Stegostoma tigrinum: one gene and its partner. The protein of the gene in region 1 purifies or fractionates together with the protein of each later gene. This does not show direct contact. Links are inferred from orthologs where the notes say so. Each region holds a gene or a part of one and is shown on either strand. Other genes may lie near its edges. The genes, in order: mrps26 and snrnp70.

Evidence for each region.
Region 2: the proteins of mrps26 (region 1) and snrnp70 purify together in Homo sapiens (affinity purification with mass spectrometry; 3 studies listed by BioGRID and IntAct, counting the BioPlex papers as one, with this or other methods). This does not show direct contact. The link is inferred for Stegostoma tigrinum from reciprocal best matches to the Homo sapiens genes MRPS26 and SNRNP70.

Annotation. Positions count from the first base shown.
Region 1 is NC_081354.1:182,486,063-182,501,485, forward strand, and holds the start of mrps26 (28S ribosomal protein S26, mitochondrial), read left to right. Parts: upstream 1-6,660; 5' UTR 6,661-6,761; coding exon 6,762-6,964; intron 6,965-8,983; coding exon 8,984-9,130; intron 9,131-13,386; coding exon 13,387-13,510; intron 13,511-15,423.
Region 2 is NC_081391.1:18,610,934-18,627,509, reverse strand, and holds the start of snrnp70 (U1 small nuclear ribonucleoprotein 70 kDa), read left to right. Parts: upstream 1-8,924; 5' UTR 8,925-9,105; coding exon 9,106-9,252; intron 9,253-11,047; coding exon 11,048-11,110; intron 11,111-13,904; coding exon 13,905-13,959; intron 13,960-14,484; coding exon 14,485-14,549; intron 14,550-15,133; coding exon 15,134-15,196; intron 15,197-16,576. UniProt on the Homo sapiens protein: Component of the spliceosomal U1 snRNP, which is essential for recognition of the pre-mRNA 5' splice-site and the subsequent assembly of the spliceosome. SNRNP70 binds to the loop I region of U1-snRNA.

The DNA of each region.
Region 1 (15,423 bases):
GACTCTTAACTGCCCTCTGAAATGGCCCTAGGAAGCTACTCAGTTCAGGGACAATTAGAAACAAGCAACCTGATGAGGTGATGGCCTTGTGGTGTTCTTGCTAGAGTATTTTTCAGGTATTGTTCTGGGGACCTGGGTTCAAATCCCACCATGATAGATGGTGAATGAAATTTCAATTTAATTAAAATCTGGAATTAAAATGATGACCATTGTCGACTGTCAGGGAAAGCCCATCTGGTTCACTAATGCTCTTTAGGGATGGAAATGTGTCATCCTTAGCTGGTCTGGCCTACATGTGTCTCTAGGCACACAGCAATATGGTTGAATCCCAAATACCCTTAGGAATGAGCAATAAATATAGGCCTAGCCCAAATCCCATGTACAAGTGATGAAAAGACTCTCCACTTTCTCTCACTGTGCCGACAACCAATCCAAGATATCACTGCCATAAAATCTCCTGGGATTTTCCTTGCATTCGTGGTGCCACCTTGTCAATTTTTATTCACTGAAAACGTTCAGTCAGTGTCCCCAAATATAGAATCCAATTACCAATGCAAAGTCACAATTCAAAAAGAATCAAGTAATGCAACATAACAGGAAGTGTGCTAATTATTGACTGTCTTTTAATGAGGGAGGGATATGAGTCAGAGTGAACGCTGTAACTGAGAAATGTGTTGCTGTTTAGCTATAATATGCATTTGGTCACATGTAACCCATCTCCGGTTCACATAAGTCCTCCCCCTGACCTCTGCGGTTCCCTCTCCGCCTTGCCTGTTGTTTTCTGCTTGTGCCCTGTCCAGCATTAATTCCCATTCAACCGTCACCAATGCGCAAACCCATCAACATCAATCCAGCATGCTCCACCCCCACAGTGCCCACAACCCCCCATTTCACCCTCAACATGTACCTGAGCTACGAGGCAAATTGAATAGGCTGGGGTTATGCTCTGAAGAAGGGCCACTGGACCAGAAGGTTAACTCTGCTTTCTCTCCACAGATGCTGCTGAGTTTCTCGAGCAATGGTGCGGCACATTGGCGCAGTGATTAGCAATGCTGATTCAAGCCTGAGGTGACTGTCCGTGTGGAGTTTGCACATTCTCCTCGTGTCTGCGTATGTTTGTGCTGGTTTCTTCCCACAGTGCACACATATTAGGTGGGATACTGTGAATAGTGTCCAGGAATGTGCAGGCATGGTGGGTTAGCCATGTGAAATGCAGAGTCACAGGGTTGCAGGGGGATCGGACAGGTTGAGATGCTATTCAGAGGGTCAGTGTGGTCTTGATGGGCTGAATGGCCTGCTTGGGGTGATTCTATGACCTCTGTTTTTCTTTCTGATTGCCTTCATCTGCAGTTCTTTAAGCTTTTCTTTAAGATATGAGAGGGAACCTGATAGAAGTGTTGGTTATGAGTGGTATTAATCTGATGAATAGGAAGACACCTTTTCCTGTGAGCAGATGGGTCATTCCACCAGGGGGTATGGATTCAGGTGCGAGGTAAAAGGGTAGGAGGAGAGCTGAAGTTTTTTTTAAAATCAGGGGGTGTTTGGGAGTTTGGAACTCGCTCACAAATAAAAATGGTTGAGTCAGAAACTCTCACAACATTTAAGCAGTTGTTTAGATACTCACTTGTGTTCCCATAGCCACAAGGGCTTTGGGCCAAGAGCTGGAAAATGGGTTTAATGTGATAAGACCTTTGTTGAGGAGTGCCGACATGATGGGTTGAACGGCCTCAGTCTGGGCTGTAAGTGCATACAACCCTAAAAGCTTACTTATTCCGGCACAAGAGGAGGCCACTCCTGGAACGGTAACACCATTTGTTTAAGAATTTAAAGTTTGTTGAAAATAATTGGAGTGGTTATCACATGTGACAAAATGGCGACTGTGCAAATATAGCCAGTGAGCTCTTAAGACCATTAGACCATAAGACACAGGAGTGGAAGTAAGGCCATTCGGTGCATCGAGTCCACTCCACCATTTAAATCATGGCTGATGGGCATTTCAACACCACTTCCCTGCAGTCTCCCCATAGCCCCTGATTCCTTCTGAGATCAAGAATTTGTCGATCTCTGCCTTGAAAACATTTAACGTCCCGGCCTCCACTGCACTCCGTGGCAATGAATTCCACAAGCCCACCACTCTCTGGCTGAAGAAATGTCTCCACATTTCCATTTTAAATTTACCCCCTCTAATTCTAAGGCTGTGCCCACGGGTCCTAGTCTCCCTGCCTAAAGGAAACAATTTCCCAGCGTCCACCCTTTCTAAGCCATACATTATCTTGTAAGTTTCTATTAGATCACCCCTCAACCTTCTAAACTCTCATGAATACAATCCTAGGATCCTTAGCCGTTCATCATACGCTAAACCTACCATTCCAGGGATCATCCGTGTGAATCTCTGCTGGACATGCTCCAGGGCTAGTATGTCCTTCCCGAGATGTGGGGCCCAAAATTGGACACAGTATTCTAAATGGGGCCTAACTAGAGCTTTATAAAGCCTCGGAAGCACATCGCTGCTTTTATATTCCAATCCTCTTAAGATAATATTACATTCGCTTTCTTAATTACGGACTCTACCTGCAAGTTAACCTTTAGAGAATCCTGGACCAACACTCCCAGATCCCTTTGTATTTCTGTTTTACGAATTTTCTCACCGTTTAGAAAATAGTCCATGCCTGTATTCTTTTTTCCAAAGTGCAAAGCCTCACATTTACTCACATTGAATTTCATCAGCCATTTCCTGAACCACTCTCCTAAACTGTCTAAATCTTTCTGCAGCACCCCCCACCTCCTCAGTACCATCTGCCTGCCCACCTATCTTCGTATCATTGGCAAACCGCCAGAATGCCCCCAGTCACTTCATCCAGATCATTAATATATGAAGTGAACAGCTGCGGCCCGAACACTGAACCCTGTGGGACACAACTTGTCACCGGTTGCCATTCCGAAAAAGAGCCTTTTATTCCAACTGTCTGCCTTCTGTCAGACAGCCAATCCTCAATCCAAGCCAGTAGCTCACTTCGAACACCATGGGCCCTCACCTTACTCAGCAGTGTCCCGTGAGGCACCTTATTGAAGGCCTTTTGGAAGTCTAGATAGATAACATCTACTGGGTTTCCCTGGTCTAACATACTTGTTACCTCTTCAAAGAATTCTAACAGGTTTGTCAGGCACGACCTATAGGGCAGAGGCAGGAGAAGCATCTGCACCATTGGTGAAACAATGATCTGTGAGCAGGGGTAGCACCGTCAATGAGGGGTCAGAGGGTGAGGACAGGCAGAGCTGAGTGGGGGGGCACAAATGTCACATGGGGCATTGAAGAGACAGTGTGGAGGAATGCTGGCTTGCATCCGGATTTGGAGGGGGAGAAGGGTGTCTGGGAATGAAGGAACGGGAAACAGGAGCAAAGGCACAAGGTTGGTCCGAAATGTGAGTGTGGGAGTGAGGGGCAGTGGCAGGGGCATGGATGACGTGGGCTTTCACCTCCACCTGAAATGGTGTTGCAGTGCAGGGTGTTGTTGGCCTGCACTGGAAGAACGTGAGATATCAACTTCAAACAAAATTCTTTTTATTTTGTCACACCAGGTACTTGATTTTATATTCTACAGTGCCATCTCTCGACAGGCGGCTGTTCCCATCACTTGCGAACTACATCTGCTTACTTTGTGCCACCTAGAGGCGACGTTCAAAAGATACCCTACAATTGAAACATTGTGTGGAGAAATAGTGAGGAACAGTGGTCAGACCATGTGGAGACACCCCCGGTCCTGGTCTGCCGCAGAAAACCCTTGGAGAGAGACTGCAATGTGTATCTTTTTATCTCTGCTTCTTGTTTCTCTGACCTGTGGTTAGACACCGTCTAGCTGCAATGTAACTTTTCTCTTCTTTAATCCTCTAAACCGTAACTAGGCATTAGACCTCAGTACTCTGTACGTAAGATGACACTGTGAGTCAGTGACACTGTTACACTGTAATTAATCTGTCAGGAATGAAGTTCTATCTAGATACCTTTGTGAGTGGCAACTCATAAACTTCTCATTACTCATCTGAGTATATGTGACAATAAAGCTAATTCATTCATTCAAAAAAATACAAAGACATGGTGGTAATATAACAAGGTGTGGAGCTGGGCGAACACAGCAGACCAAGGAGCATCTTAGGAGCAGGAAAGCTGACGTTTTGGGCCGAGATCCTTCATGATGAAGGGTCTCGGCCCAAAACGTCAGCTTTCCTGCTCCTCTGATGCTGCTGGGCCTGCTGTGTTCATCCAGCTCTACACCTTGTTATCTCGAATTCTCCAGCATCTGCAGTTCCTATTGTCTCTGACATGCTGGTGAGGCTTTTCAACTTATATTCATTAGGATATTAACTATCAATTGGTGACCAATCAGTCCCTTCTTCCTGTCCCAGTGTAAATTGTTAGATAATAAAATGTGAGGCTGGATGAACACAGCAGGCCAAGCAGCATCTCAGGAGCACAAAAGCTGATGTTTTGGGCCTCGACCATTCATCAGAGAGGGGGATGGAGAGAGGGAACTGGAATAAATAGGGAGAGAGGGGGAGGCGGACCGAAGATGGAGAGAAAAGAAGATAGGTGGAGAGAGTATAGGTGGGGAGGTAGGGAGGGGATAAGTCAGTCCAGGGAAGACGGACAGGTCAAGGAGGTGGGATGAGGTTAGTAGGTAGATGGGGGTGCGGCTTGGGGTGGGAGGTTAGGGAGGCAGAGACAGGTTGGACTGGTTATGGGAGGCAGAGGGTGGGGGGAAAGAGCTGGGCTGGTTGTGTGGTGCAGTGGGGGGAGGGGACGAACTGGGCTGGTTTAGGGATGCAGTAGGGGAAGGGGAGATTTTGAAACTGGTGAAGTCCACATTGATACCATTAGGCTGCAGGGTTCCCAGGCGGAATATGAGTTGCTGTTCCTGCAACCTTCGGGTGGCATCATTGTGGCACTGCAGGAGGCCCATGATGGACATGTCATCTAAAGAATGGGAGGGGGAGTGGAAATGGTTTGCGACTGGGAGGTGCAGTTGTTTGTTGCGAACTGAGCGGAGGTGTTCTGCAAAGCAGTCTCCAAGCCTCTGCTTGGTTTCCCCAATGTAGAGGAAGCCACACCGGGTACAATGGATGCAGTATACCACATTGGCAGATGTGCAGGTGAACCTCTGCTTAATGTGGAATGTCATCTTGGGGCCTGGGATAGGGGTGAGGGGGGGGGGGTGCGGGGGCAAGTGTAGCATTTCCTGCGGTTGCAGGGGAAGGTGCCGGGTGTGGTGGGGTTGGAGGGCAGTGTGGAGCGAACAAGGGAGTCACGGAGAGAGTGGTCTCTCCAGAAAGCCGACAGGGGTGGGGATGGAATAATGTCTAGGGTGGTGGGGTCGGATTGTAGATGGCGGAAGTGTCGGAGGATGATGCGTTGTATCCGGAGGTTGGTGGGGTGGTGTGTGAGAACGAGGGGGATCCTCTTTGGGCGGTTGTGGCGGGGGCGGAGTGTGAGGGACGTGTTGCAGGAAATACGGGAGACACGGTTGAGGGGGTTCTCGATCACTGTGGGGGGAAAGTTGCGGTCCTTAAAGAACTCGGACATCTGGGATGTGCGGGAGTGGAATGTCTTGTCGTGGGAGCAGATGCGGCGGAGGCGGAGGAATTGGGAATAGGGGATGGAATTTTTGCAGGAGGGTGGGTGGGAGGAGGTGTATTCTAGGTAGCTGTGGGAGTCGGTGGGCTTGAAATGGACATCAGTTACAAGCTGGTTGCCTGAGATGGAGACTGAGAGGTCCAGGAAGGTGAGGGATGTGCTGGAGATGGCCCAGGTGAACTGAAGGTTGGGGTGGAAGGTGTTGGTGAAGTGGATGAACTGTTTGAGCTCCTCTGGGGAGCAAGAGGCGGCGCCGATACAGTCATCAATGTACCGGAGGAAGAGGTGGGGGTTGGGGCCTGTGTAGGTGCGGAAGAGGGACTGTTCCACGTAACCTACAAAGAGGCAGGCATAGCTGGGGCCCATGGCCACCCCCTTAGTCTGTAGGAAGTGGGAGGAGTCAAAAGAGAAGTTGTTGAGTGTGAGGACAAGTTCGGCGGATGAGGGTGTTGGTGGAGGGGGACTGGTCGGGCCTGCGGGACAGGAAGAAGCGGAGGGCCTTGAGGCCATCTCCATGCGGAATACAGGTGTACAGGGACTGGACGTCCATGGTGAATATGAGGTGTTGGGGGCCAGGGAATTGGAAGTCCTGGAGGAGGTGGAGGGCGTGGATGGTGTCATGGACGTAGGTGGGGAGTTCCTGGACCAAAGTGGAGAAAATGGAGCCCAGATAGGTGGAGATGAGTTCGGTGGGGCAGGAGCAGGCTGAGACGATGGGTCGACCAGGGCAGGCAGGTTTGTGGATTTTGGGAAGGAGATAGACCGCGTCTCCCCTATTTCCCGCAACACGTCCCTCACACCCCGCCCCCGCCACAACCACCTTTCTACAGTTTGCTCTGGAGAAGCATGCAACTCTAATTTGAAAATTCATGTCCACGAGGTGTTACTTTCAGAAGAATGTTTGCTGGCTGGCAGACTGCCTGAAGTGGTTAAAGTGAAAGGGGCTTTTGTTCCCTTCCTGCATGTCCCAGAAAAGTGGGGAAAAATAGGAATTGCAGCTTTAAGACCTTTGGCCGGCGGAAGTACTCGCGGTTTCCGGTAAGATGGCGGCGCCCATGTGAGAGGCGGTGATCGCCTGTCTCGGTGCCGGCGGCTGACTCTCCCCGTCCCCAGGTACAAGGTCCGCGGGACGATGTGGGCTCAGTGCCGGCCCCTCCTGCTCGGCCGCTGTCGGCCCGCCCTCAGGATCCCCTTCCGGGGCCGCAAGTCCCGCAACGACCCGCCCGCCAAATCCAAGGCTGATCGGCTGCGGGTCCCGACACCGGTGGATCCGGCGGAGCTGCTGGTGGTGAAGGAGCGGTACCGGCAACACGTGGCTCTGATCGGGGCCCTCAGGTCAGTGCCGGGGGAGGGGGCGGTGTGGTGTGTGGGGAACGTCGGGCTGCGCACGTGTTGAGGAGAGCCCAGAGTGACGTGGAGGAGAGGGGGGTGGGGAGAGTCCTGAGCGATGGGGGTTGGGGGGTGGGAGAGGGGGATGGAGGAGATGGGGATGGGGAGAGCCCTGAGCGATGTGGGGGTGTGGGGGATGGAGATGGGGATGGGGAGAGCCCTGAGCGATGGGGGGGGGGTGTGGGGGATGGAGGATGGAGGAGATGGGGATGGGGAGAGCCCTGAGCGATGTGGGGGTGTGGGGGATGGAGATGGGGATGGGGAGAGCCCTGAGCGATGGGGGGGGGGGTGTGGGGGATGGAGGATGGAGGAGATGGGGATGGGGAGAGCCCTGAGCGATGGGGGGGTGTGGAGGATGGAGGAGATGGGGATGGGGAGAGCCCTGAGCGATTGGGGGGGGGGTGTGGGGGATGGAGGATGGAGGAGATGGGGATGGGGAGAGCCCTGAGCGATGGGGGTTGGGGGGTGGGAGAGGGGGATGGAGGAGATGGGGATGGGGAGAGCCCTGAGCGATGGGGGGGTGTGGGGGTGGAGGATGGAGGAGATGGGGATGGGGAGAGCCCTGAGCGATGGGGGTTGGGGGTGGGAGAGGGGGATGGAGGAGATGGGGATGGGGAGAGCCCTGAGCGATGAGGGGGGGGGGGGGGGATGGAGGATGATGGGGATGGGGAGAGCCCTGAGCGATGGGGGGGATGGAGGATGATGGGGATGGGGAGAGCCCTGAGCGATGGGGGGGATGGAGGATGATGGGGATGGGGAGAGCCCTGAGCAATGGGGGGTGGGCTTGGGGAGAGCCCTCGGGTAATAGATGGGGGTCGGGGTGTGGAGAGAGCCCTGAGTGATGGGGGGGGAGGGGGGCGCGGATAAGGCTGTAGGGAGAGCCCTGAGTGATGGGGGGACATTTTGGAGGACAGCCCATCAGTAATAGACAGTGGGTGAGAGACACCTATCTTAATAAAGAGGTGGGGAGGCCGACTACTGATTGAGAGTGAAGAGCCTGTCAATAATGGACAGAAACACGAGCCCAGAACCAGGGCTCGCAGTCTCAAAGTAAGGCCTTTTTAGAGATGAGGAGGAATTTCTTCACCCAGACAGTGTTGAGCCCGTGGAATTCTTTGCTACAGGAAATTGTTGAGACCAAAGCTCTGGAGACTTTCAAGAGGTGCAGACCAAGTTTTTTTTAAGACTGGTATGTCAATGATGCGGAGCTGATGGTGTTGGGCTGGTCTATTATAGTCCTTTGTCAGGTGTTAATGTGGCTCTGAAAGTTTGTGTTTCCAAATAAACCTGTTGGGCTACAACCTGGTGTTGTGTGAATTCTGACCTTGAAAGTATCAAGGATATGGGGAGAAATAGGGAACCGGGTATGAAGTTGGATGTTCAGCCATGATTGTATTGAATGGCAGAGCAGGTTTGAAGGGCACAATGGTCTATACATGCTCCTATTTTCTATGTGCCAAAAGCATAATCGTTCTTGTCAAGAAGAAAGTTCCACGTACTCAATTGCATTAATGTGTGAACTTGTAATGGTCAGATCATCTGTTTCTTGAGGACAAAAGCTGGTCATAACCCAAGGAGTTTCCTTGCTGTACTTTGTAATAGACCTGTGGGATCTTTAAAAGCTACCTGTGGAGGCAGATAGAGCCTTGCTCTCAGTTCTCACTTTAAACATAGCCCCTGCAACAGTGCAGCACTCCTTCAGCGTTGCATCTGTAGTGTCAGTACAGATTTTCTTCTTGTGTCTTTGAAGTGGGGCTGTGAACCCACACTTTCTGAACAAAGAGTGCTACCCAGTCAGTCACCATGAGTGCTGATCGTTCCGTATATCAGGGAACTGGAAGTTGCAGGACTGGGCTTAAGCCTCTGATACCTGCTGGTGGGTTTGAAATTGTATTGTCTGTCCACACCCAAAAGATGAAGTGAGCAGAATTTGATCTTGTTTCTCTTCAACCTCTGGAATGGAAGGGCTGAGTTTAAGGAGGAAATGCTACGCAAGCGTTATGAAGAGGAAGTGGGCTCTCTGGCCGAGGAACGAGCACAGTTAGAAGCTGAAGAACATCAGAAGCTCATGGCTTTCAACAATTTGGAGAATGAACGACTCCGAAAAATACGGTGAGTCAAACATCTTTTAATACAACAACAAGCATGGGATGCTGGAGAAACTCAGCAGCATCTGTGGGGAGAGAAACAGAGTTAATATTTTGAGTATGGTATGACTTCTTCTAGACTCTGAGTTACAAAATTGTCAGCCTGCTTAGTTGTCAAACAGAGGCCTCGGGGTTCAGATACATGGTTCTTTGAAAGTTGCATCACACGTCGACAGGGTGGTTAAGAAGACACTTAGCACACTTGGCTTTGTTGCTCAGACCCATTGAGTGTAAGAGTTGGGATGTCATGTTGAGGTTATACAGGATGTTGGTGAGACCACTTTTGGAGTGACGTGTGCAGTCCTGTTCGCCTTATTATAGAAAGACTATTATTAAACTGGAGAGGGTTCAGAAAATATTTACCAGGATCTTGCAGGAATTGGAGGGAAAGGCTGGGGCTCTTGATCATTGGAGCGCTGGAGGTTAAGAGCTGACATTATTGAAGTTTGTAAAATAATGAGTGCATTGATTGAATAGAAAAAGTATTTTTCCTAGGATGGGGGATTTCGAAACTAGGGGGTATATTTTTAAGGTGCGGTGAAAGATTTAAGAGGGACCCGAGGGACAACGTTTTGACCGAGTGTGGTTTGTATCTGGAATAAACTGCCAGAAGAAGTGGTAGATACAGGTCCAGCTAGAATATTGAAAAGACCTTTGGACAGGTCCATGAGTAGGAAACGTTTAGAGGGATGTGGGCCAAACACAGGTAAATGGGACCAGTTTAGTTTGGCAAACTCGATGTGGACAAGTAGGACTGAAGTGTCAGTCTCCATGCAGTATGACTGTGACGTCCAGAATTGAATGAGCAGAAATCCTTAAACGCTGAGAAGACTGAAGCCATTTTTTGGGTCCCTGTTTCCGATCTCTTTTCATTTAACTTCAGACTTGTTTCAGCAACATCTGAGATTAACCCAGTCTGTTCATGGTCTTGATGTCACATTTGATCTTTAATGTGAGCTTCCAAGCTCTCGCTTGTGGCATTTGAAATGCTATCTATTTCCACATCTGTAACATCACTCAACCTCGCCTGTCTCGTACGTTTACTGCTGAAATCGTGCCTTCATTACCTCTCGACTAGGCTTGACTGTTCCAGCTCGCTTTGAGTTAGTCTTTCACATTCCACCTCTGAGGTTATCCAAAACTGAGCTCTGAAGAGTCATACTGGACTTGAAACGTTAACTCTGTTTCTCTCTTCGCAGATGCTGCCAGACCTGCTGAGTTTCTCCAGTATAGGGAAACAACTGGGAAAGCTCTGAATAAGAGAATTCATCTCAAAGTGGAGAGGCAAGGTTTGGTGGTCAGGGATAGTTGACATGGCTTTGTCAGAGTGAGATCATACCTTTTAAAAATTGACTGAATTCTTTAAGGAGGTGACCAGGTGTGTCGATGAGGGTGGTGCAGTTGATGTAGTTTATGTGGATTTCTGAAAAGCCTTTGTGAAGATCCCACATAGGAGCCTGATAAAGAAGATAAAAGCATGTGGGATTCACGGTAACTTGGGAAAATTAGATCCACATTGGCTTAGTGGTAAGAGTCAGAAGGTGTTGTCACTGTTCGTGTGAGTGGAGCCCAGTGTGCAGTGACATACCCCAGGGATCAATGCTGGGCCCCTTAATGTTTGTGTACTTACAAATGATGTAGGTGAGAAGGAAGGGCAGTGATTAGCAAGTTGAAAGATTGGTCAGGTGGTTAGTGAGGAAGAAGGCCTTAGGCTACAGGAAGATAGAGATGGATTGGTCAGTTGAGCAGACCATAACAGATGGAATTTAACCCTGATAAGTGTGAAGCAATGCACTTTGGAAGATGGAACTGGACAATGGAGCACTCAATGAATGACAGGACGCTAGGAAGCTCAGGAACAGGGGATCTCTGGATGCTTGCCTACATGTTCCTGAAGGTGACACACCAGGTTTATAGGGTCATTAAGACCCTATAAAGGACACTCTCGCCTTTAATCAATGATAACATTGATTATAAGAGCCGGGAAGTCATGTTGGAGCTTTACAAACCTTTGGTTCAGCTACAGTTGGAGTACTGTGTACAGTTCTGGTCATCACACAATGGGAAGGATGTGATTGCACTGGAGGGCTGCAGAGGTAATTTGCGAGGATGTTACTTGGGATGAGAGGCTGGATAAACTTGAGTTGTTTTCTTTAGAGTAGAGAAGGCTGAGAGGGGATCTGATAGAGGTATGTAGGATTATGAGCAGTGTGGATAGGAAGCAGCTTTTCCCCTTCGTTGAAAGGTCAGTAACAAGGGGGTATAATTTTAATGTGAAAGGCAGGATGTTGAGAGGGGATTTGCAGAAAATCATTTTTATCCAGAGAATGCTGTGGGTTTGGAATGCACTGCCTAGGAAGGCAATTGAGGTGGGAAACTTCACAACTGTTACAAAATACGTGGATGAGCACTTGAAAAGTCATAACATTCAAGATTTTTGGCCAAGTGCTGGAAGGTGGGAAGAGTGTAGGTAGGTTGCTGCAGACTTGATGAGCTGAAAGGCCTCTACTGTGCCCTATAACTCTCAGATTTCCAGCATTCACAGTATTTGGCCATCATCCAATACTCTGTGGCCTGTGTCGTAACGCACACCACACTCCATTCCCCTGTCACCTTGTGCTTATTGAGCTATAAATGGTTCTTGGTCAAGCAGGACATACAATCCTGCCATTGTGGGAGCAGGCCATGTGGCCTGTTGAGTCCACACTGACCCTCCAAAGAGCACCCCACCCAGATCCACGCCCCTACTCTATTCCTGTAAACATGCATTTCCCACAACTAATCCACTTAGCCTATCCATCTTTGGACTGTAGGAGAAAACCCACGCAGACACTGGGAGAATGTGCAAACTCCACCCAGACAGTTGACCGAGGGCTGAATGGAACCCGGGTTTCTGGTGCTGTGAGGCAGCTGTGCTAACCACTGAGCCACCATGTCGTCCCAATGTCTTGATTTTAAAATTTCCCTCCACGGCCTTAGCCCTCCCAATCGCTGTCATCTTCAGACAGCCTATCATCCATCATACCTGCAGATCTCTAATACTGGTCTCCATGCATTCCCAACTTTAATCACTCCACTATTGGTGCCTGTCTTGAGTTACCTATGTCCCAAACACTCTGTCTATCTGTTGTTATTCTCGTTGAAGGCAATTCCTGATATCTACCTCCTTTGAGCAAGCATTTGGCCCTAATATACCTTGTGTAGCTCAGCATCATACTTTCTTTTATAATGCCCTCGGGAAGGGCTTGGAACAGTTCGTCATGTTAAAAGCACTAGAAAGAAGGGTCTAGGCCTGAAACGTCAGCTTTCTTGCTTCTCTGATGTTGCTTGGCCTGCTGTGTTCATCCAGCTCTACACCTTGTTATCTCAGATAAATATAAGTTGTTGAGTCTCACACTTCACTGAGCCATATTATATCACAGCTACCTTATTCCAGTGAAATTTACAGCAGAGAAATGGGCCATCAGTCCAACTAATCTATACCATAAATCTCTCCCTCAATTTATCATCTCATCCTATTGGTCAGCCCATTCATTCTATTTTGTGATTATCTGGTTTCCCTTTAATACATGCTACTTATCTTAACTGCTCCACGGCAGCACGGTGGCTCAGTGTTTAGCACTGCTGCTTCACAGAGCCAGAGACCCGGGTTTGATTCCACCCTCAGGCGACTGTCTGTCTGTGTGGAGTTTCCACATTCTCCCCGTGTCTGTGTGGGTTTCCTCCGGGTGCTCTGGTTACCTCCCACAGTCCGTGGATGTGCCATGCCCATGGAATGTGCAGGATTATAGGGCAGGGGGATGGGTCTGGATGGGATGATGATCAGAGGGGCAGTGGGCCAAATGGCCTGGTTCCTCACTGTGTAGAGATTCTAGCTGTTAGTATGTTCAGTGATCTCCCTGATCTCTTTGTAAAGAGGTTTCTGCTGAATTCCTGTTTTGATTTCTTTGCGATTGCCTTAGACTGATGGTCTCGAATTGTGCTGTCTCCCACGAGTAGAAAAGCAACTCCCTGTGTCTACTGTTTTAAAAATCCATAAGGTTGGTGATTGAGGAGTGTGAAATCACAGTGTTTCATGTTACCCCACGGTAGTGAATGGGCATGGTATTAAAATCTTTATTTGTTTTTGTTTTAAATTGCGAGAAAGGGCAAATCGATGAGGGAAAGTAACACCCAGATATGTTTAAATTAATGCCTTTTGTATTTGGGTTTGTACGGCAGTGAGGAGCGACTACAAAGAGAGGCAGAAGAGGAGCAGGAGCAGAAACTCCAAGCAGCCATCACCAGAGAAAAAAAACAGAGTGAATTCCTTAAGGAGAAGGAACAGGAAGTACTGCAGCTTCAGGTATACAGTGAGCATGGGCGCAACGTATAGCTTCATTGTCACAACTCCAAATGTTACACATCCAGTGTAATCTTCCCATCGTGCTGTCCCCACCGGACACTCTCAGGGCAGGGGCAGCACAGGGTTAGATAGAGAACAAAGCTCCCTCTTCACTATCCCCATCAGATACTCCCAGGACAGAGACAGTAGTGGATTAGAGTACAGCTCTTTCTGCAGTGTCTCCATCGAACACTGCCAGAACAGGGACAGCACTGGGTTGGATAAAAAATAAAGCTCCCTCTACACTATCCCTATCAAACTCCCCCAGAACTGGTATGGTGTGAGATTAGATAGGGTAAAGCTCCCTTTACAATTGCATCAAATAATTGCAAGGTAGGTAAAACATGTTCGATACAGAATAAAACATTCTCTGTTGTTTCATCAAACTCTCCTCAAACAGGGGGAAGTGTGAAATAAGCATTCTAGCCATTTGGCTATTGCACTTTACATTGTCTAACCTTGACTGAGTTGCAAATTCTTATGCACAGTTTATCTTCCCAGCATTCTCACATACGTTTTCAAGTTAAGGGGAAGCTGAGAGACAAGAAAATCTTTTTATCCATACAAACTCTGCTGGATTTAAACTGTGCTCCCAGATAGATTGTACCAAAGAAATGGATTTCTCATTTGCCATTGAAAGTGTACTTGTGTTAATTAATCATTGATGGTGCGGTTGTGATATCATTAATAATCATTAAAGATATATCAAAATATCACTCCAGTTTCTCCCCACACAGCTGCTTTGCCAATTAGTCCAGCATTGTGGAAGCTCCCTGCTGCTTTATGGTTCTGTTTTCCAGTGTTAAGGTCATTACAACCTACATTACGTTATCCCCTCAACATAGAAAAGCATCACAAGGAACTTCTGCAGGAACATTGTTGGATAAATAATGAAGATATTGCATTACAAATGGAAACACAAGAACAAGGAACCTAATGCCCGGTCAAATATTTAGGAGGGAAGAAAAGTTTGGGGAAGTAATTCCAGAGCTTGTGTCCTGAGAACTAAAATGACTGGTGCAAAGGAGATGGGGAAAGCACAAGAGGTCAGAGCTGTACAGCCGTGGAGCCCATGGAAGATGGTTACGGTTCCAGAAGTGCTGCTACTGGAGCATACTGGTTGAGATCTGAAATAAAAACAGAAGACTCTAAAAATACTCAGCAAATCTGCGGAGAGAGAAGCAGAGCAGTTTATGACCTTACATCAAAACGCCATGGATGCTGCAATGAGCTGGAGTCGCAGAGCTGTACAGCGCAGAAACATGCTCTTTGGTCCAACTTGTCCATCTCGACCAGAAATCCTTGATTAATCCAGTCCAATTTTGCCAGCATTTGGCCCTTATCCTTCAAAAACCTTCCTATTCACATACCCAAGCAGATGCCTTTTAATTGTACCTACCTCACCACCACCTCTGTCAGCTCAATCTATGCACACACCACACTGTGTGGAAAAAGTTGCCCCTTGGGCCCCTCTTAAGTATTTCCCCTCCCACATTAAACCTATGCCATCCACTTCTGGACTACCCACCCCGGGGAAAAGACCTTGACTATTGACCCAATCCATGCCCCTTGTGATTTTTTAAAAAATAAACCTCTATAAGGTCTCTCATCAGCCTCCGACACTCCAGGGGAAAAGGCCCCAGCCTGTTCAGCCTCTCCCTATAAATCTTTTCTGGACCCTTTCAAGTTTCACAACAGCTTTCCTAGACCTAAATAGCCAGATCGTGTGTTTCAGTCATGTTACTCGTTGGGGTGAGCTGAATTTGCCATTTTCATCAGCTTGACAATTCCTGGTTTTGATTTTGCAGAATCGCAAGTCTGAATGACCCACGTTTCTGAACAGTATCTATGGAGAGAGACAGAGTTAACATTTC
Region 2 (16,576 bases), on another chromosome or scaffold:
CTTGGACCTATCTTCTGGCCAGACTCTCTCAGTGGGCATGGTTGTTGTGTGCTGTTTGAAAACTGTGCCATGAGTGGTGACCTGAATAGATGTATGTGGATTTTTAAAAAAAAACTGAAATCTGCATTGTTGCAGTGTGCAATACACATGGGACTTTGCACAAAAAATGTACTTTATTTGTTACAGCAGCAAAGCTGCATTGCTTTAAGCACAAAATATACTGTTGCCACCTCCTTGTGTAACTTATATGTAATTAAAAGGCAACAGACAATGTTTATTAAAGTGTAAATTGCATTTTAAAGTTGGATAATGTTGCATTGCCTCTTAATTTTCTTAAAAAATACTGTTCCAAATGAATGCGATAGGTTTACAGTGATTCTTGTGGCACACGTACTTTTTCAGAAAGCACAAAATTCATATTGTTAATTGCCAGTTTGTCCATGGTCTTGGTTTTAATTTTCAGTTTATTATAATATGCTGCATTTATTCAATGTTTTGCAAATGTATTAAAACATCTAGGAATTTGAGTGCACAATCTGAAGTCCCATCTGCCCTCTTGGATGAGTGTGTGAGAGAGACCAGCACCATTTCAAAAATGAGCAGGGACCTCTACCTGGTTTTCTCGTTGAGGCACCTTAACCAATACCGCTACAGTAAACAGTTAACTGTTCATTACCTGCAGATGCTGGAGAATCCAAGATAACGAAGTGTGAAGCTGGATGAACACAGCAGGCCAAGCGGCATCTCAGGAGCACAAAAGCTGATGTTTCGGGCCTAGACCCTTCTTCAGAGAGGGGGATGGGGAGAGGGTTCTGAAATAAATAGGGAGAGACGGGGAGACAGACCGAAGATGGATAGAGGAGAAGATAGGTGGAGAGGAGAATATAGGTGGGGAGGGGATAGGTCAGTCCAGGGAGGATGGATAGGTCAAGAAGGCGGGATGAGGTTGGTAGGTGGGAATTGGAGATGCAAGGCTTGGGGACTGCTTTGCAGAACACCTCCGCTCAGTTCGCAGTAAACAACTGCACCTCCCAGTCGCAAACCATTTTAACTCCCCCTCCCATTCCTCAGATGACATGTCCATCATGGGCCTCTTGCAGTGCCACAATGATGCCACCCGAAGGTTGCAGGAACAGCAACTCATATTCCGCTTGGGAACCCTGCAGCCCAATGGTATCAATGTGGACTTCACAAGCTTCAAAATCTCCCCCTCCCCCACTGCATCCCAAAACCAGCCCAGCTCGTCCCCTCCCCCCACTGCATCACAAAACCAGCCCAGCTCGTCCCCGCCTCCCTAACCTGTTCTTCCTCTCACCTATCCCCTGCTCCCACCTCAAGCCACACCTCCATTTCCCAGCTACCAACCTCATCCCGCCTCCTTGACCTGTCCGTCCTCCCTGGACTGACCTATCCCCTCCCCACCCATACTCTCCTCTCCACCTATCTTCTCTTCTATCCATCTTCGGTCCGCCTCCCCCTCTCTCCCTATTTATTTCAGAACCCTCTCCCCATCCCCCTCTCTGATGAAGGGTCTCAGGCCGAAACGTCAGCTTACGTGCTCCTGACATGCTGCTTGGCCTGCTGTGTTCGTCCAGCTTCACACTTTGTTAACTGCTCATTTCCTTGCTGTTTGAGGGAGCTTGCTGTGTCTAAATTGACTGCTGTATCTCCTACTTCACAGCGTTCAGAAATATCTCATTACCTGTAAAGGACTTTTTGATGGGTAGTGTTATAGAATGTTATGGATATGTTATTTTCTCCTTTTTACTTGAGCTTGCTGACCTTCGTGAATTTATTACATAATGTGAGTGGTCTAGAGGACCTCCCCAATTGACAAGCACAAATCCCTTGCCATTCCAATCCACATTTTTCCTTCCTTCTGTTGGATTAATTTCCATTAGTGTTCAGTCCAGTTACTGGGATGAGCAGAAAAACTGTTCAATCAGTTGCTTGACCACAAGTTATAGCATATTATCTTTACGCCAAAGTGACCTGTTGTTGAGAAACTGGCATTTTCTTCTTCTCGGTGCTTTCTTATGCAGAATGGAGAAATGGTAATGATGCGTTGGAGTTTTACAGATGTATCACAAAAATTACTTGTCTTTGATAGAATGTTTCTATCTTTATAGGTATCCTTTCCCTTTTAGGAAAGATTGAAAGGTGCACAACCAGTATTAAAGATGTTAAAATGCTTTCACTTGTGCGGTAGCTGGCCACTCATTTTGAAAGCTTAACAAACTGCATTGCTTTAGTTCAAAGGATTGTCTTGTATATTGAAAATCTTGATTTCCTCATAGAGAGGTGTGATATATTTGTGGAGTAAAGGTGCATAAAAGGGAAGTCATTCAGCCCATCATGCATTTGCTAGCTCTTCTGACAGCTGTTGTTGATTCCATACATCACCCATTGCTTGCCAATCATTCCCCTTTCAAGACGTTTTCCAATTCACTTTTGATAGTTGTTGTATCTGGTTCCATTGACCTTTTTCAGACTGACTTTGTGGAAATGTTTACTTTCCCATATTGATTCTGACTGTTAAACACAAAAGGTAGGAGGATAAAGCCATTTTGCCTTTAGACCCTGCTCCACCATTCAATATGATTGTGGTGGATCATCCAGTTCAGTCCCTGTTCCTGTTTTGTCCCCATTCCCGTTGACACCTCTTAGGCCTGAGAACTATATCTAACTCACTGAAATCATTCAGTATTTTTGGCCTCAGCCACTTTCTGTGGCAGAGAATTCCATAGACTTGCAACTCTGGGTGAAGACATTTCTCTTCATCTCAGTCCTAAATAACTTATCCTATGTCCTTAGAATGTGATCCCTGGTTTGGACTCTGGTCCATGATCCCTGCTCATTGCAAATATTCTGTTTTGTTTTTCCTGTCTAGTCCTGTTAAAAGTTTATAGGTTTGTATGAGATTTTCCCTCGTCATTATTCTAGACTTCAGTGAATACAGTCTTAACTGATCTCCTCACTTAATACATCGGTCATACCATCCCAGGAATCAGAATAGTAAACCTCTGCACTCCTTCCATAGCCAGAACACCCATCATCTGGTGAGGAGGCCAAAACTCTGCTAATTGTTGCAATCATTCTCTACCACATCCTGCACCCTATGATCTCCTAAATAGTCCCCCACTGATGTTTGTTCTACTTGGCCTACTGCATTCCCATGGACCAGGTCCAACAATGCATGTGGTTGGACTGTGTACAGGTAAGTGCTGAAGGAAACTCTCCTGAACACGATCTAGGTACACCCTTGCCTGTCACTGTTTCTTATGCTACCAGTATATCAGTCTCTATTTGCAAAATGAAGACCACCCCATTATTAATTTGTAATGTTTGTAATGGGCCAGACCAGATCCCTTCTTAAAAAATGTTTAGAAGGTAGCCTAGACTCCTAACTTTTTCTTATTTTGAAGGTAAATAACAGGTACTGTGGTCCAGATGAAATTTGACTTGTCAAACCACTCAATGTTGAGTAAAATACATTATTTTTTCAAACCCTATAGTTAAAAGTACAAAAAAGAAAGAAGACCTTGGAATAACTTGACTCTCAGAAACATTAACCAAATAATAGGTACAGTAACTCTTACTAATTACCTGTTCTAATATAGTAACATCCCATAAATACATTTTTGGCAAAATGCAAATTCAGAAAACAGATTCTGTCTCGCATGCAGTCCAGCAGCTTCTAAAGAGAACTCCCAGATTTTGGCTGCAATCTAGAGATTGGGTGGGGAAACTAGTTTCTACTTCTTCAAGCCCACAACAGCAATTGCTGCTAAAAATCCCTGGAGAGCTTCACCACACTCACTCAGGCTGCTTTGATCTTTGCAACTAATTTTCTAAAAAGAACCCTAAGGTCTCAAGTTGTTTATTTTCTCAATACTCTTCACCTGTTACCCCAAAAAATAAGGACAAAAACACACCTCTTAAAGCCACAGCATTGTCACAGTTGTCATTTCTCTGTAATTTGCCTGAAGTTGCTTCTAGCAAACAGTTTTTCCAAAATATTCCAGGTGTGGTCTTACCTGTCACACTCACTTAAACCTATAGTATCCCAGTCTAAATTTGTGTAATTGAAGTTCCCCCGCGCCCATTATTGCTATAAATTATGCCATTTTACTGTAATTTCCCTGAATTTGTTTCTAGTGAATGGTTTTTCAAAAAGTTATAATAGCCTTTTTTTACTTTTAATAAAAAAAGCTCCACAGACCGTTGAAGGTGGAATTTTTATTTTTGCTCTTCCTCCACTTTTTGCCAATTAACTTTGCTAAGCATAGTTCAGAACAACTGGTCTTTTCTGAGGCAGTGCACAGGGTTAGTTTAGACCAAATGCAGACTTTCTGGTGGAAAAAACAGTAACGTAGCACCTTTTTTTAGTATAGTGATATGTCTTGAGGCACGATATAGGAACATGATTAGATGAAATATGGCATTGAATCATCTAGTACCGATTAAAGATAGGAGGAGAAATTTTAAGCAGAAAAGTTTGTCAGAAGTAGTGTGGTGGAGAGATTTAGGAAGGGAGTTCCAGAGCTACGTAGATGAAGGCATACTGCTACTAATGGAACAAAGTTAGAGATGCGTTGGAGGGGTGCAGAGATTTTGGAGCATTGCAGGGCTACAGGAGGAATTGAAAGATGAGGATAAGACTGTTTTACAATACAGTCGGAGGTTAGTGGTCTTGTGGTGCAGCGGTAGTGTCCTTATCTTTTGAGCCAAAAATGTCCAAGTTGAAAGTCCCACCTGTCCCAGATGTGTAATATAGCCTGTCTAAAGAGGTTGCTTAAAATACATATCGTTACAGGTGAGAGGATAATTAGACAGGTGCCCCTGAGATTGCATTTTTAAGTCATAAATGCAGTCTTTATATTTGTGTATACTATAGTATTTTGGTTTTATAATTATATAGCAAAGAGCACAGTAAGTTGAGACGTGGAGTTAGTTGGATCACAGGAACTTCGCAAACAACCAAACTAAACAGATGTGAAGGTGAAGCAGTTGGTGCCATCGCTAGAGGAAGAGGGAAATTACAGTGTCAGAAGAACTCTGAAGATTCATCTAGACTCAACTTTAGGTTACCTTCCCTCCGTGGATGCTGCCTGAGCTGCTGCAATTTGCAGCATTTTTTGTTTTCAGCAAGTTATGGTGTGACTTGTTTACATAGGATGTTTTTATTTCAAATGAGGATGTGGAGATTATTAATGGAGATGATGATAATTATGATAACAGAATAAGGTTTAATGTGCAAAATGGGATGCAATGTTTCAATCAGATATTCATAGGTCATAGCTCCAAATCTTCCATACACTATATTAATGGATTCAATGGAAACCTTGCAGAACAGCCATACTAAAGGTCATTGTGATATTGGAGACATGTGCCAGTAGGAATTCACATGTACTAACACATGTTACAAAGCCTGAAGAAATGTGCAGTTGTACCAGTTAGAATTTTGTTAAACTCATGCTGGGTGGTTTCTTAAACGGGACAGGATGAGGCTTAACTTTGTATTTACAAAGTCCACAAAGGAGAGAAAGACTAATTGGCTTAAAAAAATTGCTAATGCATAAACACTAGATTGATCCTGAGTATGGAAGGACCCTTTTCTGAGGAGAGGTACTGTACTTTATTGGAGTTTAGAAAAATGAGAAATGATCATATTGAAACATACAAGCTCCATGGAGGAGCAGACAGGATAGATGCTGCAAGTTTGTTTTCTGCCCCCCGCCCTTGTGGGAAAGTCTAGGATTTGAGACAGAGGTGAGGAATAATTTCTTCTCTTGAAAGATAGTTTCTTCTGTGGAACCCCTTATCGCAGAAGACTATAGAGGATAGGTTGTTCAGTATCTTCAAGGTTGAGGTGGACACATTTAATTGGTAAGGGAATCAAACTTCATGTGGAAAGGTCAGGAAAGAGGACTTGATATTATCAGAACATGTGATCTTACTGGAAGGAACAGACTCAATTGGCTGAATAGCCTACTTCTGCTCCCAGCAACTTTGAGTGAACTATAACACTTCAGTATTTTAGGTTTTATTTCCAAATTTTGTTATGCTCAATGAAGTGATATGCCCCAGTCTGAGTTTGATCTTCCTAATGCATAGGGAGCCACAGCAACCATGGGCAGAGGTGCATGTTGTACAAGGGACACTAGGTGATGTTGCAGTGCTGCTCTTCACTAGGCATAAACAAGATCAGAATTAAAGAGAGACAGGGAAAACACAAGTACAGCCCTGGTCTAGCTGTGTGAATGTTAGAGACATGCAAATAAATGCTTGAAGTAGGCCAACTAGCATTCGAACAGTAGAATTCACAAGAGATAATGGGAACTGCAGATGCTGGAGAATCCAAGAGAATAAAGTGTGAAGCTGGATGAACACAGCAGGCCAAGCAGCATCTCAGAAGCACAAAAGCTGACGTTTCGTAAGGGTCTAGGCCCAAAACATCAGCTTTTGTGCTCCTGAGATGCTGCTTGGCCTGCTGTGTTCATCCCAGCTCTACACCTTATTATCTAGAATTCACAAGAGTTTTCTCCCTGGGCATAAAATGAGGAGCATAGGTAGGGAAGATAGGCAGAATTTTTCCCCCTTGAAGGGAGCAATGACCAGGAGGCTTGGATTTAAGATAAGAGGCAAGAAGTTTGGAGGGGATGTGAGGGAAAATCTTTCTCGTTCAGAAGATGTTGGAAACCTGGAATTCACTACCTGTAAGGATAATACAGGCAGAAACTTTTGTTAACATTTAAAAAGCATTTAGCTGTGCACTTATATGCTTTGGTATTACAAGACGACAGGCCAAGTACTGGAAAATGGGATTAGAAGAGTTTAGGTGGGGCTTTTGACTTGTGCAGATGCAAAGGGCTAAAGGGTCTTTTTCTGTCCTATCAATCTCAATGGCATTAAACAGATTCAAAGATAATGGGAACTGCAGATGCTGGAGAATCCAAGATAATAAAGTGTGAAGCTGGATGAACACAGCAGGCCAAGCAGCATCTCAGGAGCACAAAAGCTGACGTTTCGGGCCTAGACCCTTCATCAATGAGACTTAAAGGTTTTGGGTAGTTTCATCCTTTGCAGAGATTCGATCAATAGTTTGTGCCCAACCGAGTCGAACGCTTTCGCTAGATCGACAAAGACAACTGCGAGGTCCTTACGATTGTGCTTTGCTCCCTTGATGATGTTTTCGAGGACAACAATGTTTTCATTGCATCCAGGAGTGGCTGCTAGAAACCCTTTTTGCCTGGGGTTTATTTCGACTGTTTCACTCGGGCGTTTTGCCATTATTTTCGTGAACAGCCGGAGCAGTATTGGACCGATGGTTATTGGTCGCCAGTTATCAATGCTTTTCAAGCATTCCTTATCCTCGCACTTAGGAATCAGGACCATTCGACTCTTTTTTAGTGAATCGGGGATCATGCTTGACTTTAGCCATAAGGAGAAGAGGCGGGGTAGATGAGTTTCCTCCTGCTCATGGAGTCTTCTTATGTCTTGCAGTTTCAGGCCATCTGGTCCAGCGGCACTGTTCTCGTCTATCCCCTTGATGGCCGCTTCAACTTCCTCTACCTCTATGGGTTTCATCAAGGACCCGTCATCGACTTTGCCAGTGTATGGGGCATACTTATTTATGTTCGATTTCTTGTTTGGTGCAGACAGTTTCTCACGGAAACATGTCTCCAAATCCTCTTTTGAGAGAGGACAAGCGGATGAGGTTGGCGCCCCCATGATCTCACGAGCTAGTTGACGCCGGTTGGTTTTGTAAAGCCGCTGTGTTGCTCTAAACAGCGCTTTTCGTGCTGCCCACCGTTTTCTGGCTCCGGTATTGCTACCGGGCTTTTTGTCTTTCTTGGCCTGATCTTTTTGAGGCCTCTTGTTTTTGTTCTGTCTTTTCCTGCTATTCATTAGTAGGTCGGTAATACTTTCCACTAGTCCAATTCCGAGGGCAAGCGTGTCCGGGTCGTTCCTTGCGCTCAAGAGCTCCTCAGCTTGTGTAAGCTGGTCATCTACGTCCCGATGTTTAGGGATCGAAGCCGGTGTTTTTCGGCTGGCTCTATGAAGGGTCTAGGCCCGAAACATCAGCTTTTGTGCTCCTGAGATGCTGCTTGGCCTGCTGTGTTCATCCAGCTTCACACTTTATTATCTTAAACAGATTCAAGCCTGTTTTTCCCCCTCTCTAGTAGAGTATTTAGCCTTTACATGCAATAAAGTGTTTATATGCAAGCCCAAGTCTGAAGACAGTTTATGACCTTGCCTTCTCAGTCCCTCATGAGCCACAACTCACGTTTGAGTTCAAAACCACATAACAAAACTGTCCTAATATAAAAATTTAAATGCTACAAACATCTTGCACAGGTCATGCAGAGTAATATAACCGATCATTCCAGATGTTAGGAGACCCTTCACCAGCACTGACATTGAGGGGATACTGTCCCTTTAACTGCAGGAGAGCCGGGCAAAGGGTGGGGTGGGGAAAATGGCTGTCACTCAATCTATCCACCCAATTGACATGGTATAGTAAAGATGACAGGCCTTTGTACCAATAGAGGTGTGGCATATGGGCGGGAGCACTGTCCACCCATGTCCTAGCCAATCGGCGTGCGGAAGAGGGGTGGGGCCTAGCGAAACAGCAGCCATTCTAGGGAGGGTAGAGGCGGGTCCTCCTCGGCGCGTGATCCCGCCCACCGCCCTGGAGTGATCGTTATTTTGAAATAAAGGGTAGGTGGTGTTCTGCCACCATGTAAATAGTGCCTAAGGGAGAATGGAGAAAAACAGAGTAAGGTAAAGTCTTATTGAGAGAGAAATGGACTAAGGTATAAAATCACATTGAGTAGCATTATTATCAATGGTTGGAATTGTATTTTACGATGCATTTTCCAAAGCAGGGGACGCCCAATGATACGGAGGGAATGTGAAGAGGCACGGCGGCCATTTTGTGTTTTCCTCGCTGTCGGCGCGCGTGAGGCCTGGTGGCGTTGTTTAAGCTAGTTAGAGTAACAAGTTAGCGAGTTATTCCCCCCTCCCTCCTCAACCTCACAGGCCGAGTAACCCAGAGGGGGAGAGAGAGGGGACAGCGGGGTTTTGATCCCGGCTCCCGCCATGACTCAGTTCCTGCCGCCGAACCTGCTGGCGCTGTTCGCGCCGCGGGACCCGGTGCCGTACCTGCCGCCGCTGGAGAAGCTGCCGCATGAGAAACACCACAACCAGCCGTACTCAGGCATCGCCGGCTTCGTCCGGGAGTTCGAGGTCAGCGCCGCAGCTGTGGGGGAGGGAATAAACCTGGGGTGACGGACAGGGGTTAAAGGGCCCGGGGGGGTGGGGGGGCCTGGAGAGTGGTGCTGATAGAGTTACTGGGGAAGGGGAACTGGGGAGCTGGTAGTGATGGAGTGACTGGAGAGAGGAGGGATCTTGGGGTGACGGGGGAGGGTGCTGACTGGGCAAGGGGAATGGTGGGGAGGGGTGTGACTGCATGGGGACTGGCAGAGGAGAGGGTGCTGGGGGAGGGTGGGAACTGAAGGGAGGGGGAGCCCGTATGGGGAGAGTTGGGATAAAGAGTCGTAACAGGGTGGAGAGAAAGAGAAGTGGTAATCAGGAAAGGCAACTAAAACGGGTGGTTGATACAGTTGAGCAGTGGGTGAAGGGGGGGAGAAAGGAGTAACAGACAGATGTGGAGTTGGGGGAAAGGAAAGACAGTGGGGTAATTGGGAGGCTAAATTGGTTAAGGAGTGGTCATGTGGGGAAAACTGCAGAGGGGGGAGTGGAGGGTAGGGGATTGATCTGGGGGTGGGTGCAAGAATAGGGTATTGGGTGGGGGGAATGGTGAGGAGGTGTTTGGAGGCTGGTGGGGAAGAGGGGTGGATGGAGAATGTGAGATGGGGGAAATGGGCTGGTGAGAATTGTCAGAGGGGATGGGGAAGGTGGGAATTCATGATAGGGAACTAATAAGGACTGAGGGAGGAGGAAAGGAATTGAGCAGATGATTCAAAATGGGGAATGAGCTATGTAGAGTAGGGAAGTGTGAGTAAAGAGCAAGAGCTGTGTTGATATGAAAGATATTGTGTAGGAGGGAACAGTAGTGGAGAAGGTAGCCAGATATGTAAAGGAGGGGTCTTGTGGTAGTGTGAGGAGAAGGGTATTAAAGGTCTGTTTGGGCCAGTGGATAAGGATGTTAATGACTGGTCAAGTGTAATTGAGGTGAGTGGGGCCTTTTGGAACAAGGCAAGTTCTGGGAGAATGAGAAGTTTGGCTTGTGTCCAGTTAGGGGCGTGTATTGAGAATTGGTATTGACGGTGACATAGTTTTGGGATATGGGTTAAGACCTGGTGGATGGGCAGAAGATGAAGTGGACCACAGTACATGTTGTACAATCATGTTGTGGGGTTTGGAGGCGCAACGGTTGTATTTATGGAGTTTATGCTTGTGACTGTTTTTCAGAGAAACTTAACGCTCAACCTTGATTTAGCCCTTTAATCCGTATATACTCCCATTTCTTCCTTTTCACTGTTCATTCTTATTCTTCAGAGTCAGTCTGTTAAGAATCTGGTTTTCTTGAATTTTCTGTTAGCTTTTCCATTCTGTTATGTTCTTTCACTTTCGGATTTATGTCTGGTATCGTCCTGTTCCTGTCTCATTATTACAGTTGCACATGTTCATTCATTATGTTCTGAAACCTAAATTCCTTGTTACCAAGAAACCAGATATTGACATCTTGATCAAAATCAAAATCCTGCAGGTGCTTGGAATTTGAAATAAGGTCTGTCGGCATCTCTTATGGGAAGAATCTTTCATACTGTTGATATATTTAATATTGTTTGAATACTTTTATACCCATAATTCAATTCCACATGAAGGTTGCACCTGAAAGAAGCTTATGCTTGCATCTGAACAGCCGTTTTTCAGTGCATTCATACCACATTTTCAAGCATAACTGGCCTCTATCCAGGAAAAGTGATGATCAAGGAGCCACTTGGAATTGCTAGAATGGAATATAGCAAGTGTAACTTCTGAATTTTTGATCACAGCTTCTTTTTCTGCTATGTAGGATCCTAGAGATGCCCCGCCACCAACAAGAGCTGAGACACGGGAGGAGCGAATGGAAAGAAAGGTAAGAAATTTAGGCCAAATGTACATCCTAGGGTTAAATGTGTTAGGAAAGGCTAGACATTAGAAAATACCTGGAATTATTTGAAGGTCTCCGCGACTATTTTCTGTAGGTTTGTGGACCCACATTCCTTTCAGCTGTTTGTTGATCTGGCCATCATTTCTGTGGGTGCTTGCGTGACCTGTAAGTGTATTCAGTCCATTTGATTTTATTACAGGGTCTTCATCAAGCCTGATTATGTTCCTAAGAATTGTGTACACATCTGCTTATCAGCAGTAGTCTCTATAGACTTCTGCCTCCTGTTACTTGTTTCTACCAATGAAACCACCTAAATTGTTAGAAAGTAGGCATTCAGCTTTTTATGCCTTTTCCACCAGTTATTTCCCTCAACAACACTTTTTTTGCCTGCTGAAATATTCAGTGACTTCCCTTGGTAGGCAAGAATCTCTCTTTAAAAAGTATTCAATGACTCCTCATCTACCGTTCTGAGGAAAAGAGTTCCACTGACTTGCGACGCTTCAGGAGGAGAAAAGATTCTCATCTTTATTGTAAGTTGGAGACCTCTTCCCTTTAAACTGGCCCTAAATCACTTTGTCACAGGCATTCAACCTTTCAGAGTCCATCCTGAAAAACATCTGGGGAGGTGATGGCCTAGTGATATTATTACTAGACTATTGATCCAGAAACCCAGCTAATGTTCTGGGGGACCCGGGTTTGAATCCCACCAAGGCAACCTGGCTGATTACCGTCCCACCGGTCTACTCTCAGATATCAATAAAGTGATGGAAAGTGTTATCAACAGTACTATGAAGCAGCACCTGCTCAGTGATGTCCAGTTTGGGTTCTGTCAGGGCCACTCAGCTCCTGATTTCATTACAGCCTTGGTTCAAACATGGAGAAAAGAACTGCATTCCAGAGGTGACAATGACGGCCCTTGACATCAAAGCTGCATCCAAATGAGTGTGGCATCAAGGAGCCCTAGCAAAACTGGAATCGTTGCGTATTGGGGGCAAACTTTCCAGTGTTTGGAGTCATACTTGACACATAGGAAGATGGTCATGGCTGTTGGAGGTCAGTCATCTCAATCCAGGACACCTGCAGGAGTTCCTCAGGGTAGTGTCCTTGGCCCAACCATCTTCAGCTGCTTCATCATTCACCTTCCCTCCATTTGTAGGGTCAGAAGTGAGGCTGTTTGTCAACGATAGCGTGATGTTCAGCACTATTCATGACTCCTCAGATATTAAAGCAGCCAGTGTTCAAATGCAACAAGCTTGGACAATATCCAGGCTTGGGCTGACAAGTAACAAATGTTATCCATGCCCCACAAATGTCAGGCTATGCCCATCACCAATAAGAGACAATCTAACCAAACCCTTTGACATTCAATCATATTACTATCACTGAATTCCCCCAGCATCAACATGCTGGGGGTTATCATTGACCAGAAACTTAACTGGACTCACTACGTTAACGCAGTAGCTACAAGTGCAGATCAGAAGCTAGGAATACTGTAGTGAGTAACTCCCTTCCTGACCCCTCAAACCCCGTCCACCGTCTACAAGGCACAAGTCAGGAGTGTGATGGAATACTCCCCACTTGCCTGGATGAATTCAGCCCCAAAAACACTGGAAGCTTGACATCACCCCGGACAAAGCAGCTCGCTTGATTGGAACTACATCCATAAGCATCCACCACCAACTGTCAGGAGTAGTGTGTACTGTGTGTTTGTGGGGCGGTATGGTGGCTCAGTGGTTAGCGCTGCAGCCTCACAGTGCCAGGGACCTGGCTTCAATTCAGCCTCCGGCGACTGTGTGGAGTTTGCACATCCTCCCCGTGTCTGCGTGGATTTCCTCCGGGTGCTACGGTTTCTTCCCACAATCCAAAGATGTGCAGTCTAGGTGGATTTGCCATGCTAAATTGCCTGTAGTGTTCAGGGGTGTGTGGGTTATAGGGGGATGTGTCTGGGTGGGATTCTTCAAGGGGCGGTGTGGACTTGTTGGGCTAAAGGGCCTGTTTCCACACTGTAGGTAATCTAATCTAAATCTAATCTAATCAACAAGATGCATTACAGAAATTCGCCAGAGATCATCAGACAGCACCTTCCAAACCCACGACCATTTCCATCCAGGAGGACAAGGGCTGCATATAGGAACACTACCACCTCTAAGTTCCTGTCCAAGCCACTCACCATCCTGACTTGGAACTATTTCACTGTCACTGAGTAAAAATCCTGGAATTCCCTCCCTAATGATGTTGTGAGTCACCCTACAGCTGGTGGACTGCAACGGTTCGAGAAGGCAGCTCATCACTACTTTCTCAAGGGCAACGAGGGATGGGCAAGAAATGCTCGGCGGCCAGTGACTCCCTCATCCCACAAATGAATAGAAAAATCATTTGGAATCTGTGTTTCAATAGGATGACCCCCCCCGCCCCCGCCTCAGCCTCATTTTTCTCAAACATCTGAAGATACAGGTCCAGTTTGTTTTTTCCAGCCTTTCCTATTAAGATAAACCTAGCCCCCAAATCTCTGGAATCAATTGGGTTAATCCTCTGTTGTTCTACACCACTGTTAATTCAAAATACGATAGAGAAAATTTAACCAACTGTGTATGTAAATGGTTCATTTAGTTGCTTCCTCATTGGCTATTGGGGAGCTAATGACTGACCTTATTATACATTTTACCAAACCTGGTTGCAGACCAAATTATATTCTACTTCCAGAATGCATATGGATTAGCCAGTGACACTGCTGACTTTCTCCTGTATGGTGGCAGACATTGTGATTTTCCTTTTACAGAGGCGTGAGAAGATTGAGAGAAGACAGCAGGAAGTTGAAAATGAGCTGAAAATGTGTAAGTTTATTGGAGGGTGTGTGGAAAATAATGGAGGCTGATGAACTGTACAATGTCAATGGGTATTAAACTCCGGATTGGATAGGATCAAGCTCTCTGTCATCTACCGTCGGGCTGTTTGAAGTGGGCCCATTAATTAGACGTTAAAGACAGCTGTCTGTTCACCCCTGGAAATGAATACTAATTTCTATGCCTCATTCTCCACACTGCCTTGCATAAAGCAAAATGTGCAGTAGCTGATTTGCACAGCTACTTTAGCTAAGTACTAGTGGCTATGACAACGAACATTTTTGTTTTCATGCATTATGTGTGGCCCTAAAATACCACAGGAATGTGATTAATTTGGTTTGGTCATAAGATACTTGAACAGATGACTAATAGGTTGGTTAAAGGGGTGCCCTTCAGGTGCGGGGGAGGGATGAAGGTGTATTGGTTCAGGAGGGAATTCCAGAGTGTTTGAATTGTAAACAGTAATTGTGAACTTTAACACTGCAGCATTAAAGTTGCTCTTTTTCTGATCTGCAGGGGATCCCCATAATGATCCAAATGCACAGGGTGATGCATTCAAGACACTGTTTGTTGCCAGGGTGGTAAGTTTGAGGTTATTTTTTCCCTTTTGTTTTTAAAGGAAAAACAAATGCATTGAAAAATGGGCTGCAATTCAATCGGTGGCTAGTACTGTCACTTTTTACCCATAATGGACGATATATAACTGAGATGTCTCATGTCATGAAGTTTGTGATCATTACTATTCCTTGGATGTTGTTTACGTCAAGTACCAGCAAAGGAAGAATCAAAATATTTCATTTGGTGGGGTGGTGTGGTGATGAATCCACTTGCATGTTATTGTGAGGTAACTGAGGAGTGTTTTCTGTACGTTAGAAGAGGATCCTCCAATTACCTCTGCCTTTAACCTCTAAAAACCATTAGGAAATAAACTCCCAAGTAGAAGCCTTTTGTACAAGAAAATAATTTTATTATAGAATTGTAAATGAAGTTTCTATTGTTAATTCATCGCATCATATATAACAGTACCAGTGAGTACTGTGACTATGCCCCAGATTTTAATTATTTAAACATTGACATTTTTTCATGTTTTTCATAACCTCTTCTGATCAGTATTGTTTATATTTACACTTATGAATAATCAGCTCCTGCTTCCTTTATACTACAGAACTATGATACAACAGAATCCAAGCTGAGGCGTGAGTTTGAGGTCTATGGCCCCATTAAAAGGGTAAGCATCCTATAATAAGAGTTGGTTTCAAATTTTGGTACCACTGCTGAATACAATAAACACTAATTCTGTGATCTTTTTAAATCTGCATGTTGCATATGTTCTGACAGCCATGCAATGGACGAGCCTCCAGAACAGGATAGCAGCACAGCAAATAAGTAAATAAATTCTTCTTGCTGGTGACAAAATTTAATCCTGCTTGAGAATGAGCTTTTTTTAAAAAAAAGTCCATTCCATAATGTTAGTGAGCTGAAAACATAAGGACTCTGTAGGAAAAAGTGGAAATGCACAGCTCAGTCAGCACCTGTGAAGAGAAAATGTGTAATACTGGTGTGTTTGCAAATAGTCACCAGAAAGACAGCATCTGTGGAGAGAGAAAAAGAATTCACTTTTCATATTGATGATCTTGCATTGGAATGAGGGCAAGTTAGATGTGACAGGCTTTTTTTAAAAAAATGATGGGAACATTGGGAAGGAAGAACAAAAAGGAAGTTCTGAGTGGGGGGTGGGGGAGGAGGAGAAGAAGAGCCGGAGAAGTGAAATGACTGAGTTACGTTTGCGTTCTGATGTGGAGGAGACTGCCTTTTAAAGAATAAGTACAATAAACTTTATTGAATGAAGTACAGGTAGTTTATTTTATCTTCAAATGTTTAGAACTGTGGGTGGTGGGAAGAATGGAGCTGAAAGGATAGGTTTTCCATTTCCTTTGTTTTTAATGCATGGCAAATGATTGTTAGGTGTGCATGAAGAATGGGCTAGAATGTTATGGAGAGAATACTTGTTTCAGCAGACAGGAGAGTGTGGTATATTTAGCATTGTGCTGGAAGTTGTGAAAATGATGGGTAATCATCCACTAGGGACTGTGGTTTAGAGAATCATGATACTGGGTGGAAGTGGAAAAAGTGAAAGCAGAAGAAAATCGAGTGCATTGCTAAGTGCAGTGGAGGAACGCATTTGGTTGGGGGGACAGAAAGATGGCTTAGCATCTGTAGATGCAAAAATCAGAATCAGTGATCTTTACAATTGCTAATTGACCAATTGTACATTTTCATATTCCTGATTTCCATCTGACTTTTTTAATATATATATAGAGTGAGAGATGGTTATTATTTCAGAAAAGAGTTTAACAAATAATCTAAATCTAATCTGTCAAATAGTGGACCTTTATCAGCATCCACACTTTAATATAGATGGCTGTAAACATTTTCATTTTTGAAGAGTGTCATTCTTTATTCAGTTTTAGCACTGTCTTGGTCTGGAATTGTTTTAAAGTCTGTTATGAGATCAGCTAATGTTTAAACAGTGATAGTAACACCGCCTTACCTTAGCTGTGTTTTTTTTGTTTGAGCTGAACTTCTGGAGATGGCGAACTGTGTATTA